Linked DNA regions of Kluyveromyces lactis. The protein of the gene in region 3 purifies or fractionates together with the protein of the main gene of each other region. This does not show direct contact. Links are inferred from orthologs where the notes say so. Each region holds a gene or a part of one and is shown on either strand. Other genes may lie near its edges. The genes, in order: SMB1, SMD1, CWC2, SYF2, CWC21, PRP46 and SMX3.

Region 1 (2,562 bases), on a different chromosome or scaffold from region 3:
ACGATCTCTTTGACACCGGCACCAAACGAAAAACACAAAAAGAGTACAAACAACTGCTGTTAGGAATTCTAAACGTGTATTATGGTCATTCCTTATAGGGTGTTTATATAGAAAGTATAAGCCCCGGAAAGAAAAAGGGAAGCAGAATTATCATCGACTGGGACATTTATCCCGATTAAGTTAGACACTTGTTTTATGTATATAACATTGACTGCCATAATTATGCAAATACTAGCTGTTTGGAAGGACATCCTGAAACTTCTTAACTGCAAAATACCTTCTCAGTTCATTGCGTCGTATCCATTGTTCTTTTAAATGAAACACTACCATAATGTCAAACATGGAGATTTAGTGAAACTACAAACTTTTATATGCGCTTGAGTAAATTTTTAATTCAAATTTCTATTTGGGTTCAGTCGGACTAGCAGGGGCAGGGGCAGGAGCAGCTGGATCCTTGAACTCTTCGTCATTTTCTTCATCGTCTTCATCATCATCATCATCCTTGCCAACCTCACCATTTTTTTCCAATTTCTCGGCAGTCTTTTTATAATCAATAATCTTACCACGAGTTCTCCTACCAGTAGTTATAATATTGGAACTATCGATTTCTGAAAGGTCGTCTTCTTCTTCATCTTCTTTTACCATCATTTGATCTAATTTTTCGTCATCGACTTCACTTTCACTATCTTCTTCCTTGTTAGCACCAGAAGTAGCAGATGCCTTGTCTTCTTGAGCAATTTTTTCATCCAAATCATCATAGTTTCTTCTTCTTCTCTTCTTTTTAGATTTCTTATCGTTGGCATCAGCGGTAGAAGCAAGCTCACTTTCAGCACTTCTTTTAGCTTGTGAAGCAACGTTGGAAGAGTCAGGCTCTTCTGCACCTATTTGAAATTCTTGCTTATCCTTAATTTCTTCAGCCATATTTGCAAACTTTGTATCTGTTGATATGATTAGTGTGCTGATGTTCGAGGAGTACGACCTAGGCTCACGCAATGCTTTTTTTGATCTAAAGATGCTTACCAGTATTTGTTTCCTTTTCGCATCTTGCGAACCAAATATAATTCATATTATCTCAAATCCCAAAGAAACATAATTTTCCACGTGATCATTTTTTTTCATAGCCGCATAGTGGATGAATTCTAACTATCATGTTGTATCGAAAATTAAAACATTAACTAGTTTCACGATCAATGAGTAACTTGCGTTGGTCCTATAAAGAATCACTGCTACGGACCGCTTTTTTGTGCATGATATAAGGATACCTCTTACAATCGAGTTTACAGTCTTTTTCACTTTCTTTGTTCACCAAGAAGAATAGTTATATCTCTAAGCATATCATACAAAAGATACAAGGACGATGTCGCAAGTTGAAGTTAAAAAGAAGGAAACGAAGCTATCAGATTTGATAGATTATAGAATACGAGTCGCTACCCATGACGGAAGGGTTTATATTGGCCAACTTATGGCTTTTGATGCATATATGAACCTTGTAATGGGAGATTGTGTAGAGGAACGCATGCCTCATAAACAAATCATAGAAGTACTTAAAAGTGGAGGAAACTTGTCAAGCAATGTGCAAGTCGAAAGAAGGACTTTTGGACTAATAATTTTACGGGGTGAGCATGTGTTGAGTACCTCGGTTGAGTCACCTCCCCAACTCTCTAAGAAGGAACGAATCGAAGTCCAGAAGAAGAATGCAAAAAAATTAGATAATGCGAAAAAGGCTCGTCAAGGGAAGACTTCTAACAAGATGAACGTTGGAACGAATGGATCTAATATAACTTCAACTAACTCAGAAAGTTCAAATAGAGTTACGAAGCCAAGTCATAAACCTATCAATACGAATTCTGGAGCTCCCAGTAGGTTTAATTCTAATAGTCAGGTACGCCCCAGCCGGTTCCAAGCCCCTCCAGGCTTCAAAAAAAGAAACTAAACCAGCGAACAACTTGTCATACTTATTGATATAAAAAAAATTGTTTTGGTGCTACGATCACCGATCTTAGCTATAATTATCCGAGACATGTTGATAGATATGTCTTTAGTTACCTCTTACGTACACGCAGAGGACTTTGGATATCCCACTGTAACGACTAGAACAAGAAGATATAGAATTTATCTAGCTTTATCCAGTGTAATGATATCCCTGTACTGCGCAACGTTAAAAGCCTGTGCGAAATATGATTATCCACCTCATTCCCTTTTCAACCACCCCACCAAATGCCTATACGAAACCTCCAGATATACCCCATGACCCCACCATAGCCCTGCGGACAAAAGAAATGTTATGTGTTAAATATGGCTTCCAACTGGACAATCATGGTGCGGAATATCTCTCAGCTGAGAACGGGCAAGAATTAGAGTTTGCAAGTTTCGCAAAAACAACAAATATATCGCATGCCACGATATCATGAGTGTGTGTTTTTTTTATAGGAATCCGGAGAAATAGTCCTACTGATTGTTCAAGCATCCCGGAAAAACCACTTCGAGATTTTCCGTGTGAGGCTTCCACTAATTTCCCCCAGAAATTACCATTGATTGTTTCGGAAAAATTATTCTCCCTGG
Region 2 (2,526 bases), on a different chromosome or scaffold from region 3:
ACTAACAACAAATTCATTTTGCAAACTCAACTAAGGATTATTACACACGCATATCACTCGCCATAATTTTCATCGATCGATGGTGAATATTAGAACTACAGAATTAGAAGGAGATTTAGCACAGTTGACCTATGAACTTGGGTTGAAGGATAAGGAAGTCATGACTTTAAAGCAAAGTCTGGAACGCCTCAATGCTGAAGTCGAGAAGCTAAGAAACGAGAACAGAGGCTTGAAAAGCGAATTGGAACATTGGAATAAACTACCGATGAGTCCAATATCTTTGTCTTCAGAAAACGATCAAACTGAGGACGATAAAAACCGAATGATTCAAGAGAATTTGCGGAGAGAGATTCTTTCCTTGAAGAATGAAAGTAATATTTTATCAGAATGGATCAAGACCCTTATTTCTTGAATTTCTTCAAATAAATATTCTGAGCCGTACCCAGAATTGCGTATGCCAAACTAAAAAATACGGACCATTTATCTGGTGAAATGTATCTTTGAGCAATTGACATCAATACCGTTGATGTTGCCAAGCTGGAAGACAACATTGCCGCATATCTTGTCTTGATTGCGTGTATAATTTTTGTTTTGTCAACCTTACCGTTGTTAACAGAAGTCAAGGTAAATAGTAACCCTAACACTTGAATAGGCGATACCATGCCTAATGAGCAGCCTAACTGGACCAAGCTTCTATATTTGGATACCACTTTCCTAATTGTGTATTCGTTTATCCATTTGTAACTGAAATGATTAACTGGTGCGTTAAATAGACCACCATATAGACTCATCAATGCCACTTTGATCCAATTTAGCTTCTCTTTTCTTTCCTCTGGAGACAGACTAACCCATTGACTGAACAGTTCGCTTAACCCAGTTAATACCGCGCCTGTTATGCATTTAGTTAATAACGGGTTACGTTTGAGTAAAATATTATATCTCTTCAAGATTACTGATGACGACATGTTTACTCTTGGCGTTAATCTTTAATACTCCCAATCTCTCGATGCGAGCAGCAGTAACCTTGAAAGCTTGCGATCCATGAGATATGAAAAGAGTAATATCTGACTTTAACATCTATATATATATATATATATATATATCCAGATTTTATCAAAGCAATGACTGACAGAACGTTTTGTTATCGCTTGCATGGATAGTTTCTTATCGCACTTCTCCGTGTATCTGTTAACCATTTAACATGAGATGCAACGGATCTAAATACTTTTTGGGTTCCATGTAAGATTCGAACACATGCTCGCTCGAATGTAAGAAACCATTGGAATCTCACGCAAATGAGTTACCCTGTTAAGGCACGTGATAATATGAAATTTCCACTCTTTTCCAGGAAAGAACGACCCCATTGATTCTTGAGTATCAATTTGAACCATTTCATCCATCATTATGTAGAATATGTCAATTGAGTAACTACGATCAAATCCTGATCTTTTATCAAAATCAGGAAGTTGCTTGTGGATCATCTGTTACTTTTGCAAAATTCAAAACTCTTTTTCATCAAAACCATTTGAAACTGGTAACAGCTTTCTGGTGTATCTTTAGTCCGATTGAAACAACGAAGTTTTATATACAGACAAAATGCAGTTAACAGGGTTCTTAAAGAAACTAAAGAATGAAAGGGTGTCTATAGAGTTGAAGAATGGTACCACTGTTTGGGGAATAGTGAGGAGTGTGTCACCGCAGATGAACGTCTCTCTTACTGACGTCAGGCTGACACTCCCTACTAAGACCTCAGAAGCTACCTTGGCTGCCGTCTTATTGTCAGGTGGATCGACACAAGGACAAGAATCTAAGAGAACAACTAGCCTCGAGTTCATCAACATTAGGGGTAATACGATAAGGCAGATTATTTTACCAGATAGTATCAATTTGGATGCGTTGCTTGTAGACCAACAGGAAGTCAACAGGTTGAGGAAACAAGGTAAAGTGGGAAGTGATCCGAATAAGAAGAGATCACTTGAGAGTAACGGGAATGCTCCTAAACGTCCAAAGAGGGCATTTTAATATACATCAGAAAACATATGTGGAAATAAATATGTAGTGATGTTATGGACTTTGTTTTGATGAATGATTAAACACTATTGATAATTATCTTTCATAATGAATAGCCGTTCTTTCCAGTCGATGCCTCCAAAAAAAGAAAGAATGGAATCAAATTTGATCACTGTCATCTCTTGGATCAGAGCTGGAGTCCGAGTCGCTTGAGCTCTCATCGTCCTCTTCATCGTCCCATATTTTACACCAATTGCATTTTCCTAAGGGGATGCCCCAAATTTCATTCCTGTCGCATAACCAGTCTATCAACTCATCGAAATGTATCAATTTAATCTCTTTTTTAATCGATGATGACCAACAATCCATATCTAACGAGTAACTTTTTAATTTTCTATGATCAAGTATATATTTCTTCATTAAATCATGTAATAAATTGAACGATATATCTTGCTCGGAAGGATTACTCTCAGTTAAGAAATAATACGAGATTCTCATATAACATAATACCAGTGC
Region 3 (3,029 bases):
GAGCTTACTTCCTTAACAATTTCATCGAATGCAGCACGGTATTCTTCTTCCTTAGCCTTAGCATCTTTCTTCTTGTTAGAGCCTGGAACGATGAATACAACAGAAGTAGGTCTCTTGGTGGCACCAGCAGAACCTAGATCTTGCTTCGAGGGCACAAAGATATATGGAACAGATTGGTCTTCACACAAAACTGGCAAGTGAGAAATAACATCTTGTGGGAAAATATCACCAGCAATGACTACTAACCCTTTATCACCCTTTCTCAAAGCCTTGACAACCTCTTTGACACCTCTTTTGACATTCTTAGCCTTGGAAGCCTTCTTGACGGTCTTTAACACCTTTTTGTTCAGTTTCTTTGATGCTAGAGGTTTTGCAAATGGTAGAACGGCAGGAAGTCTAGCTTCGTAGTTGTCTTCTGTTGATACACTCTTATCCTTGGCCATCTTTGTTATTATGTATAGTTCTTCACTGTTCCCCTGGTTCAAATAGAGCGAGCAATTGATTGAGAAAGGAATCAATATCACATCAGCAAGATAGGTTCATCGATTCATTCAACAGTTCAATTCTCATACTCATCGCTCTTCTTTTTGTTAACAAAAAATGAAAATTTTCCAGTACCGAGTAACATGAAAAAGAAATAAAGTATCAATTACAGTAGGGACGACATAAATTAATCCATGCGACACATAAACAACTTTTCAGAATATCGTGCCAGCGTCTTGTTTCGGAGGTGGTACATAGCAGTTGTAGAAATGTCCATCGCCTAACATTATTCTGGATGAGTCCCTTTAATTTCATACAAAACTTGGAGTTTTAAATGGCGAACAATATGTACAATGATTAAACTCTGTAGGAGAAATTAGCTGTTCCAGGTGCAGGGCATTATTGTCCTGTGATCACTTCACTTGTATAATTAAATACTTTAAAAGGTTTAAATACTCCATATACCTCTTAATGTCAGGCAATGTAGTCTTAGTAAACCTTGAAGTTTGGTTATAGCATCATTGAAAATTACAACACACAAGTAACTTCTCTCGGTAGCCAAGTTGGTTTAAGGCGCCAGACTGTAATTTGAAAACACAAAGCAATTTGTAATCTGGAGATCGGGCGTTCGACTCGCCCCCGGGAGACTTATCTTTTTTTCGTTTCCATTTTGTTTTTGATCATGATCGTTTTCACTAAAGAAAAGTTCCAACCTTGAAGTTTATTGAAAACACTTTGGCCTGCGATGAGATGAACATGGAAGATGTGTGCTCGACAAGATACAGTTTTCACCGTTATAATACGGTATCTGTTGTTGCATAAATTGGACGGTTCAAACTGTTTGCTTGTTCGAGGTCATTAAAGAATACTTGGTTTGGCAAATTGCCAAATATTAAGGTCATCGTCATCAATATATTATGACTGGGGATTGGAAGAACCGACCAGCAAGGGTTCAGTTACAGGAGTCTGACCTACCTTCATCAGTACCGCCTCAGACGGGTTTGGCTTTCAACGTATGGTACAACAAATGGTCACAGGGGCAAAGTGGGTCCACTAGGTTCGTCACACCGTACTCGCTTGATCCCGAGAACGATTCTGGTATCACTAAAGGTGATAAAGAGGGTCGGATTCATTTCTGTTTGTATTTCGCTAAGGGAATGTGCTGTTTAGGCAAAAATTGTCGGTACTTGCATCATATTCCAGAGCCAGATGATTTTGCGAGGTTAGCTTTGCATTCCTCTGCGTTAGATTGTTTTGGAAGAGAGAAATTTGCTGATTATAGAGATGATATGGGTGGGGTAGGTTCCTTCAAGAAACCTAACCGTGTCTTATACGTGGGTGGTATTACAGGGGCACTCAACAACAAAACTTTGAAACCACATCAGATTGAGAATAGAGTGAAATACAAGTTCGGGAAACTTGGAGAATTGGATTCTGTTCGATACGTGGAGAGTAAGAATTGTGCCTTTGTCAAGTTCAAATTACAGTGTAACTCCGAATTTACTAAGGAAGCAATGGGCAATCAGACTCTATTAATACCAACCGATAAAGAGTGGGATCTAAGGAAGGAGGGAACTGGGTTGCTTGTGAAATGGGCGAACGAGGATCCTAATCCAGCTGTACGAAAGAGAGAATTGGAAGAACAAACCCAAGAGACTTTGAAAGCTATAAAACAACTAGTGGCTAGTACTGAAGGCACTGTAAATCAAAAACGTAAAGTTGAAGAAATCAACGAAGTGAGAGATTCGCAGGCGAACAGTCGTGAAAGATTCAGCATTAGGGAGAATGCAATCATAGATAAGACTATTTTAGATAAGTTGAAACAAAGGAAAGTGACTATTACCAATACCAACGTTGCTGCAAATATAACAGTTTCAAAACCATCGTCGGTTTTACCTTTGGTAACCCAATATTCATCTGATGAAGACTAGATTTCGTGAAGTCATGTGACACATTGACTTTTCCAGATTAGGTATATTTTGGATTACTGGTTGCCGTCATGAACAACATCTAGCGGATTTCAGATTTGTTTTACTGACATTGCAAATATTTGAAATGAATATAAAAGCTATCAATGCCTGGTTTTCAAATTATGTCGAAGTTGTTTTGTCGAGTTCACTTACTTGAACTTCGTCAGTCTACGGTTTGGCCTTCATCAAAAAACACGATAATTTTGAATCAGACATCCGAAAAAATGGAAGACAAGGCACAGGCTCAAACAAGAACGCATGAATCGTCAGACCATTGGGTATTTCCAGGATTGACCTGGAATCCTAAATGCATTATTAGCTAGCACACTGTAACTATTTACGTTAAATACTCTAATTCATATTGCATGACTCTAAAATTTCAAGGAAAAAAGTCTAGTCCTTTCATATAATAATTGGTTTGTATGAAGATTTGTCAACATTGTATTTCGACATAGCTTCTTTTGAGATGTAATTTTCTCCGGTGAAGTCGTTCTTTTTGACATAATCGAACAATTTAGCCATGGCAGAATGATCTTCCTCCTCGGTTAGAAAAGTAAGTGCAGTACCAGTTTTACC
Region 4 (2,718 bases), on a different chromosome or scaffold from region 3:
AAACTTATTGAAACTGATTTCAAGAAAGGTCACGAATTGCGCGCTAAGGTTCAAGATGCAAGATTGAACTTTGATACTTTACGTCATGAAATTAAATTGAAGCTGCAGGAAAAAGAGGTTGTAGCATCCTCTGAGGAAGCTGAAAAAAAGGTCGCAACTGAAACCCCTGAAACCCCCGAAAAGAAAACCAATGAGGAACCAGTTGATATGGCAAAGACAGAAGAAGATCCTGATTCTAAGCTTTTCGAACGATTAGAAGATCAGTTCGTGTCTGCAACCTCAGAAACTGTGGAATTCTTGGGAGAACTTACAGATAGTTCTGAGATCATTTCTTTGGTTAAGTTGTTCCATAATTTCCAATTGATCCATTACAAGCAATGTGTCAAGAGCTTAGAAGAAGATCTAGAAGTCCTTAACTCACTAGATTCTGAAGACAAATGAAGAAATCCACCTCTATATATCGTTAAAATAAAATAATTATTCATAATCAATCGTAAATATCTCATATGTAAATGCCCAATATACCTATTTTCCCATGCCTATTTGAACTCGCTATTCAATTTTGCATTAAACCGTTTATTCTTGTCATTAATAAATCCATCATCCAAATTGATCTTATTTTGTTTATCTAGTTTTTGTTTCCGTACCATATACCTTTTCTTTGATCGTTCGTTCAAATCATTCACCATTTTTTCTACTAGTTCAGGATTATCTTCTACTTGAACCTTCCCATCCTCAGTTATTCCACCTTTCAACGGATGTGATATATCCTTCGGAAGCGCATCTACTTCCTTCTTGTAGCTGTTCTTTGCTATAGTTTGGAAGTCCCCCATCACGCTTTTATTATGTCTTGAATTCTGTGTCTTAGCTTCCCATTTTTCATATTCGCGTATTGAGTAGTTTGCCAATTTTATCGGATCTTCTGGTTCGCTTTTGTTACTTCTAGCTTTATCTTCGCCATCGTCAGCCATACTGTATACTCTTCTTTCAGAGTTTTTCTTCTCTTCAGCTATTATGGCCTTCTTATTCCTTATACTTACTTCCACTTTTTGTTTCCGCAAACTCTTCAACTTTTTTTCAATTTCCATTAGATCATTCATCTTCGAATATTTATTATCAGCCTGTGTCCAGTTTACAATGTGATTTGTGGCATTCAAATAAGGGCTACACTTTCTGTCACCTGGAAGATATCTGAGTATATTCATCGCATCTCATCTTGTTTCTGTTTGCATTTCGACACTATATATTACCCGGACTGACTCCCAAAAGTAAAGTTTGAAAAATTTGAAGTACTCAGAAGAAGAGATGAGATGCGATGAGATGCGATGAGCTGTAAGTGCAAAGATACACTCAACCGCTGCTCTTGAAAGGACGAGGTGAAGTATCAAATATCCTGTGTTCAATACAGTTTGCTTTGATATTATTTATCGAAAGATATTGAGAAAATGGCATCCATCTCACAGCCTTTTAGGCTCTCTGCTCTACCTAAGATTCCATCATTGAATAATTATGCGAATCAAACAGACTACTTACAAGTTGTTGATAATCTTTCACCATCAGCCAATAAAGTGAATATTGGTATATCAGGTTCCAGTATATCACAATACTTGATTAATCCAACCCCGAAGCTGGTTTTTAACTTGCCAATCCCCTCTACGAACATTGTTACTGCATGTGACGTGGTAGAAGATGCAGCCAATACAGAAGTCTGGTGTTACGGATTGGAAGCTAGAAAGGTATCACATTTACACTTGGCTACTAAGCCGATGATTCAAGATGCCGTGTCATCTTCAAATGCTGAAATCACATCTCAGTTCAAATATAAACTAAAATCTGAAGTCGTTAGCATTAAGATCTATTCTAAAGCAGAGAAAGTTCTCGTTATCTTAAGGAATGGACTGATTCAAACATTTGATTATGAATTGAAACTTTCAAATACTATTGATATATCTTATGATGATATCAGATTTGTTCAATTCTTCCAAGATGGGCAGGGAAACGATTTCTTTTTCGTGTTATGCCAACTAAGTGATGAGAAAATCTGTTACAAACTTTTCCAAGTTAGGAGTGAGTCCGTCTCATGTATTGAACTAAATTCTATCATACTAGAAAATTACACTTTAGAGAATGCAAAGTTGTGTTTTGAGTTCGGGAAATTATATGTTTTAAAGAACTCAAATGAATTATCAATCTATCAGTTACCACATTTGCAACTACAAACTAGCATTCAGCTACCTTTCATTTCCAAGGATGCAGTTGTATCCATCAAACCAGTTTCTTCAAACCGTGTATTGTTGACTGCTGATAATACCATATATCTTGTGGATTTGTTATACAATGCTATACTATTCCAAAAGGATTTACAGAACATCAAAGCTATTCAACTACTCTCTACTGCAGTTGTTCAAGAAAACTCTGAAGACAATAGAAAAACTATAGCATTAGATGTTACAACTAAAAACGGTGCTAACCCTACGAGTTACTTGGATGTTATTAACATTGATGTTGGTACCGGTACCTTAAAAGATGCGATGGGTAAAGGGTTCATGGTTAAACAAAAGCAGAAACTACAGAAACTCTTTGAAGAAAGCAATGAGGACGACGATGTGGAATTGCCATCTCCAGACTATGAACGCATTATAAAACAACTCCATATCTGTAAAAAAATAGAGAACTTTGATTCTATATTTTTTAAGATGCTTTCCTTAGACAAGGAAT
Region 5 (2,314 bases), on a different chromosome or scaffold from region 3:
ATATTGACGATTTAGACAAAGGTTTGGAACAATTCAAAAATTTGACTATCTGGTGTAGAAATGAATGAATGAATGAAAATTTACACGACAAAATAAAATCTAAAATTATACGAAGGGCATATCATATAAATCGATTGCCTGTTAAAACAATGAAAAGACTCTAAAAATTCAAATTATTTCTCAGTTCATGGCATCTTTTAAAACACCGTTTTACTTTTCTTCCATTTAAACCTTCCTTTCTCTTTCAGTGTTAAGATAATTGTACGGACATTCACTTCATCAGGGGAGAAACATATTATCTTACTTCTTTTATTATGCATCAATAAAAGCCCCGACAAGATTATATTGGGGCAGAACGTTGACTATCTTGTTAAATTACACTTTTACCTTTGAGCCAGAAAGTTGCAGTTTTGTATATTATTTTATTAGTTCTAAGTTTTATAGTTCATGTTTAACAATCGTGTACTAGTACTAAAATGTAATATAGCTATGATACACCAAGCGAAATTATTAATCAATTCTGACTTCTTGACTGCTCGTTTCCTTCTAGTATAGACCTGCGATAGTCTTCACATTTACTGTCTATGGTGTCATCAGACAAATCATCCGGTCCATCCTCTAGTTTATCACGATACTCAGAAACTAATAATTCGATCTGCCTTTTCGCTTTGTGGGATATTACGCTTTCATCTTTAGCAGGTTGTATTTGTTGCTGCTGTTGCTGTTGCTGTTGTTCTTTATCATGTGTAGTTAATCTAGGGTCCTTTTTCCTGTTCGTAAATGCTAACGATTGTTGAACGTAACCGGAGGTGCTGCTTCCCTTGGCACTAGATAAACCGATGCCGTTATATGACATTATTATATAGAGACACGAGCAGCTGGGTTGGTATATTCCCTTCAGCAGCCAAGAGTGTAATGGTTTGAAGTGACAGTGATACTGCAGCGTGTAGCTTAACTCATTCCATTTCATCAATTCGTTAAAACTGATATAGCTATTATTAATAATGTGATGTATGGGTGTTTAACTCTGGAATACTTAAATACACGCATACATATCGTTACTAGACAGAGGGACAGTAGAGTGAAGACATCCACTTTCAAACTTGAAACTGAAGTATGACATACTTATCATCTGACCAACTGATGGAACTAAACGTAGAATCCAGTGTGCGCGTACCAATAGGTTTCATCAAGGATCCGTTTAGCCATGCTAGGTTCCGTAATAAATTCGTAATCAAATCATGGTTTTCGATTGTATTGGCAATGTAGAATACCATTAGATCGCATTGAAAATTATCGTGGTCTAAGAATTCCCATATTTTGAGTATGAGTTGCCGAAGGTCCTGTGAGTACGCAGATGTGGAGACATGGTGTAGATAAATCGATGCAATTTTCCCCAGATCGGATGATAGAAGGATTTTACCGAACAGCTGGAAAGTTGGGTCCAAGATAGTAAAATAGTTAGAACCAATATCATAAACCTTCGAATCCATTGATCTCCCACGCACCAATTGTTTCAAGAGTTTACTGACATTTTTCACAAGATACGTCGTCCAAAGTTTATAATCTTGCGGTTTAAACTGGTAAAACTTGGATTCGAATAGAAATAAGATATCCCAATACTGTTCCAACTGAAATTTACACAATCCGGTGCTACGCCAGCCGAAGAGTAACATCTGACCATTCTCTGTTCTTAAACTGGTAAAAATTTGGTGATATTAGAAATTCATCCGAATTATTATCTGTCGTTGTGGAAGAAGGTAGTACGTCTATGTTATCGTGTCTTTTATTTTTCGTCAAGTCAATAAGTGGGAAGTCGATAGCCAAGGGGGAAAACTCATCTAGTAAACCCGATACATAGCTTTCTATCCTCTGTTGTCTCTTGTATAGCTCGTTTCTATGTATTACTCTACTCATTTTGGAGAGTGATGCGGGCAAAATTTATGATATAACTGACTGAAGGAGTCGGGAACAGCGTTTTGATAACCAACCAGGTGAAATATTGTTTAACAAACCGATAAGCTGGTATGAGCTAGTCATAGTCATTCCTTTATTTACCATTACATAACGCACTTATATGATACACCTTTGCATATCACATGGACGGTGTTTGAATTGTGATTTTCAATTGTGAGGGTTAAGATGAAGGAGGGTAATGCACGGATAAACCCGGGTAACCATTCACACACCGCAAGTCATGTGATGAGCTAGCTCCGGGGTTCCTGCCGCTAGAAATGCCGGTAAACAAAATGACCAAAATCCTGCACGTCTTTTCTGAGGGCAAAGAGACCTGAAAGAAGTGTTCGAATTTGGA
Region 6 (3,251 bases), on a different chromosome or scaffold from region 3:
ATGCACGTAGAACTTAGGTGGATCTCTTCTGCTGTTAATGGATAGAATTTCAGCAAGACGATCTTGACCATCTTTTAGTACCCATGACTTGCATCCAACGAAAATCTCATCGATGCTGTCAACCTTCTGGGGAATCCCAGGTTCCTTTTCTTCGCCGTGACTCATGTATTAGCGAGCTCGCCCAAAATATTTGTTAAACAGTTGCCTTGCCTTACTAGTTCCTCTTACAGAGGTGCTCTGTTTTTGGATTTGGTTTATTGCGTAACTAATAAGTTCAAATATTTTGAAGATGCTAAATTTCAGTTAATTTATTCAGATTACCGTATTAAAGCAAACACCATGCTTGAACAAACATACAAGAAAACCTGACGTTCCCTGTCCTTGACTACGTGACTGTAATCATATGACAGTTAGAGCAAACCTCGCAATTAATGCAGACTGAAATATTCTAGATAGATGGAAAACGGGGACCTAATAGAGTTAAACTACAAACTTCTACATAAGTCGCTGCAAGTAGACACCAGCTAGATTAGAATCTTTGAGATATTAACGTGGGATTCCACGGCAAGCCAGGGAATGTATCTTCTGTAGCATCAGGGACTTGCTTCCATATTTTGATGCTTTTGTCTCCTTCCCCTGTGATGAGTCTTGTTCCTGTGACATCAAAGGTGCTGCATAAAATCGATCGCTCACTTTCAAGTGAGCCAGCAACTTCAGTTGTCATCATACTTTGGTATTTGTGTCCTGTTTTGTAATCGTAAAAGCACAAAGTACCGTCATCTCCACCAGCTAATAGTACATTATCGTGATTAATTGATACGGTATTCAAAATCCCAGTGTTCTGGGATTGAAAGTTGGTTAATAGCTGTCCTTCGGGCAATTTCCAGGATCTGACGTCGTTCGTAGATACACTGGCAAAGCTAAACTCTGCTGGGTGTAGCGTCAAGTCTCTGATGTTTCTACTATGGTGCGTTAAAACTTTGCTTGCCTTCCCTGCAATGATATCCCAAAGTCTAACTGTTGCATCCCCGGAACAACTGATTATTTGTGGGTCAACGGGAAGGCATTTGACTTTATTTATAGGGCTTTTATGACCGGGCAGAACCATTATCTCAGATCTTGATCGTATATCCCACAACCTTACTACAGCATCACGACCAGCAGTAGCTATTATATCAAGGCTCGGATGAACATCAACGGTATGCACGCCAGATAAATGACCGTGAAAATCCCTAATTGCAGTATTTCTTTCTAGATCCCAACATTTTACAAGTTTATCTTCGCTTGCTGAGAACATATAAGGATGTCTCTTTGAGATAGCAATATCTCGAACACTCATTACATGCCCGATTAGAGTAATTTTCAACTTTCCCGCAGCTAAATCCCAGATTTTAATGGTTGTATCGTTGCTACCAGTAGCAAACCATTCATTGTCAACGGGGTCCACGCATACACATCTTACCCATCCAGTATGACCATTTATTACCTTACTGAGTTTCCATGGTGCATGCCATTGCGGTTTATAACTTCGAGTCTTTTCATAACGTTCCATCAATGAAATCTGCTGATGTGGCTGTTGGAACACTCTTCGTACTAGTTGGTCGCCTGGTTTTGTGGTATGTTTGACTAATGCTTGAGAGCTTTCGTTTGCAACAGTTTTCGACACCTCAACTAATTCACTGTACCTTTCTAAAACAGTCTTTTCTTGATCCAGGCACTTCTGTAACGACTCAGGTAAATAATCAGCATGTTTAAATTCATTATTCCACCGAGTTTGAACGTAAACATCATCTGCTACCTTCGAAGGTTCAGAGCTACGGCTGGATGTATTCATTGGTACTTATTAGTTGTCTATCAGTTCGATTAAGTCGTGTAACTCTCTTTCATCTTTGTATATGTCACTTCGTTAACTTTTCATAATATCCATCATACAAAACGGTTCTTTTCGTTTCTTGAAAAATTTCGAGCTCATCTCATCTCATCTCATCACATTGAAGCAGAAGTCAGTTGTTCAAATCTGGAAGCTGCGCTTCTTAATTGCTTATAACAAGTACCAGGTATTAGTACTCTCGTGTTAAAGTATAGTATTGGTATAATGTCAGACCAATCTTTGAAAAGAGAGTCCGAAGCTGCTGCCCAGCAAGAAGATATTAAGAGGACAAAAGTTGGTGAAGGTATAAATGAAGGTATAAACAATAACAACATCACTGAAAAGGATGTTGGTATCACGCATTACTTATCAATGGATAATGTTGGTTTCAATGGTCAGATCAAACAAAGGTACACTGACTTTTTAGTCAATGAAATCACCAAGCAAGGCGAAGTTGTGCATTTGACTGACAAAGGTTTTAATATGCCAAAGAAGCCAAAGCCAACGAGAGAACAAATCGAGCAATCGCAAAAAGAAGAACTTGAGAAACGCCAAGGATTTAAGGTGGATGAAGGAATTAGAAATGAACTTGTTGAACTTTTGGGAGAAGAGGATGTTCAAAAAATTGAAGCTGTGTACCGCTCAAATAAAAAGATTGAAACATCGAAGGCATTCGATGATAAACTTGAAAGGACTAAAATACATCAACTGCTACGTAGAGCTTTCGACAACAAGTTAGAATCTGTAACGACGGATTCAAACCATTTCATTGTTGGAATGGCTTCTCGCCAAACACGTGTTAGCAAAGAAGAATTGATCGAACAAACTAAGGATGCAAACGGTGTCGAAAACTGGGGTTATGGTCCATCAAAATCGTTTATTCATTTTACTGTCTATAAGGAAAACAAAGATACTATGGATGTCGCTAATACTTTATCAAAATTCATGAGAATTCCAACAAGGTTGATCAGATTTTCTGGAACAAAGGATCGTAGGGCTGTCACTTGTCAAAGAATGTCTTTATCCAAAATTGGTTTGGACAGATTAAACGGACTAAACAAGGGCTTGAAGGGTGTCGTTCTAGGTGGCTACAAATTCGAAGATGAGCCATTGAACTTGGGAGATCTACAGGGAAACGAATTCACTATTGCTATCAGAGATGTTTCATTGAAGAATGAAGGCGATGATTTGGATGATATCCTAGCCAATGGCATGAAATCCTTGGAACAAAATGGGTTCATCAATTATTTCGGTATGCAAAGATTTGGTACGTTCAGTGTTTCAACGCATCAAATTGGGCAAGTCCTATTATCAGGTAACTGGAAACAAGCTGTTGATTTGATCATGGCTGAACAAGAAAATGTTTTGCCAATTTCCAAAG
Region 7 (2,583 bases), on a different chromosome or scaffold from region 3:
CGAAGCTCGGTTCACGATTGGTTTGTTTTTTTGCATTGAACGGTGATACGATTCTGAGAGGATACGAAGTGACCCTACTGTGTTGACTTGTTGTGTCGCTTGAGGTGATTATGGTTTCGTCCGAATGGCAGGTTGTATGGGCTTGTTTTGCGTCCAGATTGGCTGTTTCGTACCTGTTCCCTTCTTTGCAGCAGCAATTGGACAGAACCGTTGAGTTTTCTACTCCGGTTACAAGCTATAGATCTCTGCAAGAAGGTGCGTATCTTTTACTGCATAATTTGCCCATTTATGATGGTGGTGTTGTGCATCATGTGCCTCTGCTGGTAGCTTTAATGGCATTCGTTCAACAAGCGGAGTTTCTAATGCCCGTTTTGTTTGCGGCCATGGACACTCTAATAGCGTATCAATTGATGCAAATAGCTAAGATATATCAACGCCAATTGCAAATTCCTAGTTATATTCCAGGTGTGGTTTATGCAGTGAACCCTTTGGTACTTTTATCATGTGTCTCACAATCGACATGTCTATTTGTGAACCTTTCCATTTCTACTTCTTTACTATTTGCGTTATCTAGACAGTTCTCACTGTCAGCCATATGCATTGCGTTGGCTGGTTATTTATCACCTTACGCTTATCTACTGTTGATCCCATTGGCAGGAATCTGTGGATCAAATTCTTTCGGCCTTGTTGTCAAGTGTACATTGGTATCGATTGTTTTGCAGTTGATCAGTTTCAAGTTAAATAACGATAACTGGAACTATTTGACTTCAACATACTGGATATTGATTACTTTCAGTAAGATAAGGCCAAATCTAGGGTTGTGGTGGTATTTCTTTATTGAAATGTTCGAATTTTTCATCCCATTTTTCAAATCTGTGTTCAACATATTTGTTGTTTCATTTATCCCACCTTTCACTATTAGATTCAATCAGCAATCGTTTTACGCATTTGTTCTATGTCTAGGTTGGATTACGCTCACCAAATCATACCCAACGTTAGGTGACGGAGGGTTTTTCTTAAGTTTTATCCCATTTTTCAAACCGATCTTTGGGTATCTAAGATATCCAGTCATATCAACCCTTTTATTCATTCATGCCATCATTTTGTCACCAATCTTCTACTACCTATGGATTGGATTAGGCTCCGGTAATAGTAACTTTTTCTATGCCATTTCTTTGGTTTATGCGTTAGCCATCTCGTCAGTGATTGTGGATTTGACGTGGGCCATGTTAAGAATTGAATACGATTCAGGTAAACCAAACCTTTCATTAAAACTGACTCAAATTTGAATGAACCCTGTTCCTTCTGTTGGAAGAAACATATCGTATTGTCATTATTTAATATATATCTAAGTATGACTTACCCAGTGCATGGCATAAAAACTTTTGAAAACTGTCCGGACTACTTTGGTTTGTTTTATTTGTTCCCTTGGTAGGGCATCTAATATTTCCATGCCATATTGAAAAACATGAAAATACAGTATTGCAAAAAGATAGACAACGAAAACATTACGTAGCAACCAACAGACGTAATAAAACCTTTAACAGATTCTCGAATTATATCGTGTAATCGATACATATCAGAACACCCGCGCATTAACGTATTGAAATGGTAAGTTTTCTTGTTCCATACTTTTTTGGTCGCAGCTAGGACGATTATGTCCATCTGCGATCGATGAATCCACAGATTTTGTCACCTTACTAACCAATTTAAACGTTGCAGGATCCAGAGGAATTCAAACCAATTAACCCTAAACCCTTTTTACATCAATTGATAGACAAAGATGTGCTGGTGACACTCAAATTCAATAAAATACAATATAAAGGAAGACTTGTATCGGTAGATACATATTTCAATCTACAACTAACAGATGCGGAAGAGATCATAAATGATGTCTCAAGTGGGAAAGTTGGGGACATTTTCATCAGATGTAATAACGTGCTATACGTAGGAGAGGATGTGAACAAGCAAAGTGATCAACCCCCTACGCCGACTGGAACAACAGAGAAATCTGACGATAAAGAGGAAAATGGAGAACTCGCAGAAGAAGCGAATTAATATAGCACTAGTCTGAATATTATTGAAGCAAACAAGGAAACATCGGAATAATTATGGATTCACTGTATAGCTTTCCTCAGTTGTAATAGAATTAGGGAACTGCTTATCTTAATAAAGGGAATATTAGTATTAGTATAATTAATGATAGTATAGTTTATGTAGGTTTTACAATTCAAAGGCTCATTCTAAAAAAATCTCTAGAGATTAATACCTTATGTTTTTCATTCCAAGAAGGTCTCGTTCACGGTGTAACAGCTGTTCCAGCCACCATGGATTTCTTATTGCTTACTAGTTTTCCAGTTGAGTTGGGGTAGTGATTTCCAAAAAAAATGCAAAAATGAAACGGACAGGAATTGAACCTGCAACCCTTCGATTGCAATTTTGTTTCCATAGAAATTTCCAGGATTTAACTGGAGTCGAAAGCTCTACCATTGAGCCACCGCTTCATTCTTAAGGTTTTTATCTATAACATCTTCTATATGAAATGGAGTGGCAGCATTCCTTATTTATAATAGTCACTTTAGG

What was found.
Region 1: the proteins of CWC2 (region 3) and SMB1 purify together in Saccharomyces cerevisiae (affinity purification with mass spectrometry; 4 studies listed by BioGRID). This does not show direct contact. The link is inferred for Kluyveromyces lactis from reciprocal best matches to the Saccharomyces cerevisiae genes CWC2 and SMB1.
Region 2: the proteins of CWC2 (region 3) and SMD1 purify together in Saccharomyces cerevisiae (affinity purification with mass spectrometry, with the first as the bait; 3 studies listed by BioGRID). This does not show direct contact. The link is inferred for Kluyveromyces lactis from reciprocal best matches to the Saccharomyces cerevisiae genes CWC2 and SMD1.
Region 4: the proteins of CWC2 (region 3) and SYF2 purify together in Saccharomyces cerevisiae (affinity purification with mass spectrometry, with the first as the bait; 3 studies listed by BioGRID). This does not show direct contact. The link is inferred for Kluyveromyces lactis from reciprocal best matches to the Saccharomyces cerevisiae genes CWC2 and SYF2.
Region 5: the proteins of CWC2 (region 3) and CWC21 purify together in Saccharomyces cerevisiae (affinity purification with mass spectrometry; 3 studies listed by BioGRID). This does not show direct contact. The link is inferred for Kluyveromyces lactis from reciprocal best matches to the Saccharomyces cerevisiae genes CWC2 and CWC21.
Region 6: the proteins of CWC2 (region 3) and PRP46 purify together in Saccharomyces cerevisiae (affinity purification with mass spectrometry; 5 studies listed by BioGRID). This does not show direct contact. The link is inferred for Kluyveromyces lactis from reciprocal best matches to the Saccharomyces cerevisiae genes CWC2 and PRP46.
Region 7: the proteins of CWC2 (region 3) and SMX3 purify together in Saccharomyces cerevisiae (affinity purification with mass spectrometry; 3 studies listed by BioGRID). This does not show direct contact. The link is inferred for Kluyveromyces lactis from reciprocal best matches to the Saccharomyces cerevisiae genes CWC2 and SMX3.

The regions. Positions count from the first base shown.
Region 1 is NC_006038.1:47,894-50,455, reverse strand, and holds SMB1 (mRNA splicing protein SMB1), read left to right. Parts: upstream 1-1,357; coding exon 1,358-1,933; downstream 1,934-2,562. Other genes in the region: Rab family GTPase YPT31, read left to right, coding at 1-63; CHZ1 (Chz1p), read right to left, coding at 403-921. UniProt on the Saccharomyces cerevisiae protein: Plays a role in pre-mRNA splicing as a core component of the spliceosomal U1, U2, U4 and U5 small nuclear ribonucleoproteins (snRNPs), the building blocks of the spliceosome.
Region 2 is NC_006040.1:320,120-322,645, forward strand, and holds SMD1 (mRNA splicing protein SMD1), read left to right. Parts: upstream 1-1,596; coding exon 1,597-2,022; downstream 2,023-2,526. Other genes in the region: KLLA0_D03740g (uncharacterized protein), read left to right, coding at 80-412; KLLA0_D03751g (uncharacterized protein), read right to left, coding at 402-965; U4/U6-U5 snRNP complex subunit PRP38, read right to left, coding at 2,170-2,526. UniProt on the Saccharomyces cerevisiae protein: lays a role in pre-mRNA splicing as a core component of the spliceosomal U1, U2, U4 and U5 small nuclear ribonucleoproteins (snRNPs), the building blocks of the spliceosome. Also binds telomerase RNA and is required for its accumulation.
Region 3 is NC_006039.1:1,336,584-1,339,612, forward strand, and holds CWC2 (active spliceosome conformation promoter CWC2), read left to right. Parts: upstream 1-1,400; coding exon 1,401-2,414; downstream 2,415-3,029. Other genes in the region: snoRNA-binding protein NHP2, read right to left, coding at 1-443; mRNA splicing protein PRP28, read right to left, coding at 2,856-3,029. UniProt on the Saccharomyces cerevisiae protein: Involved in the first step of pre-mRNA splicing. Required for cell growth and cell cycle control. Plays a role in the levels of the U1, U4, U5 and U6 snRNAs and the maintenance of the U4/U6 snRNA complex.
Region 4 is NC_006041.1:412,738-415,455, forward strand, and holds SYF2 (Syf2p), read right to left. Parts: upstream 1,206-2,718; coding exon 540-1,205; downstream 1-539. Other genes in the region: KLLA0_E04621g (uncharacterized protein), read left to right, coding at 1-441; UTP8 (Utp8p), read left to right, coding at 1,446-2,718.
Region 5 is NC_006038.1:878,831-881,144, reverse strand, and holds CWC21 (U2-type spliceosomal complex subunit CWC21), read right to left. Parts: upstream 971-2,314; coding exon 515-970; downstream 1-514. Other genes in the region: KLLA0_B10076g (uncharacterized protein), read left to right, coding at 1-68; OAZ1 (Oaz1p), read right to left, coding at 1,098-1,676. UniProt on the Saccharomyces cerevisiae protein: Involved in pre-mRNA splicing. May function at or prior to the first catalytic step of splicing at the catalytic center of the spliceosome, together with ISY1. May do so by stabilizing the catalytic center or the position of the RNA substrate.
Region 6 is NC_006042.1:1,034,179-1,037,429, forward strand, and holds PRP46 (mRNA splicing protein PRP46), read right to left. Parts: upstream 1,835-3,251; coding exon 530-1,834; downstream 1-529. Other genes in the region: NuA4 histone acetyltransferase complex catalytic subunit ESA1, read right to left, coding at 1-165; pseudouridine synthase PUS7, read left to right, coding at 2,096-3,251. UniProt on the Saccharomyces cerevisiae protein: Involved in pre-mRNA splicing. May also be required for cell cycle progression at G2/M.
Region 7 is NC_006041.1:436,111-438,693, forward strand, and holds SMX3 (mRNA splicing protein SMX3), read left to right. Parts: upstream 1-1,608; coding exon 1,609-1,611; intron 1,612-1,722; coding exon 1,723-2,058; downstream 2,059-2,583. Other genes in the region: GPI-anchor transamidase subunit GAB1, read left to right, coding at 111-1,289. UniProt on the Saccharomyces cerevisiae protein: Plays a role in pre-mRNA splicing as a core component of the spliceosomal U1, U2, U4 and U5 small nuclear ribonucleoproteins (snRNPs), the building blocks of the spliceosome.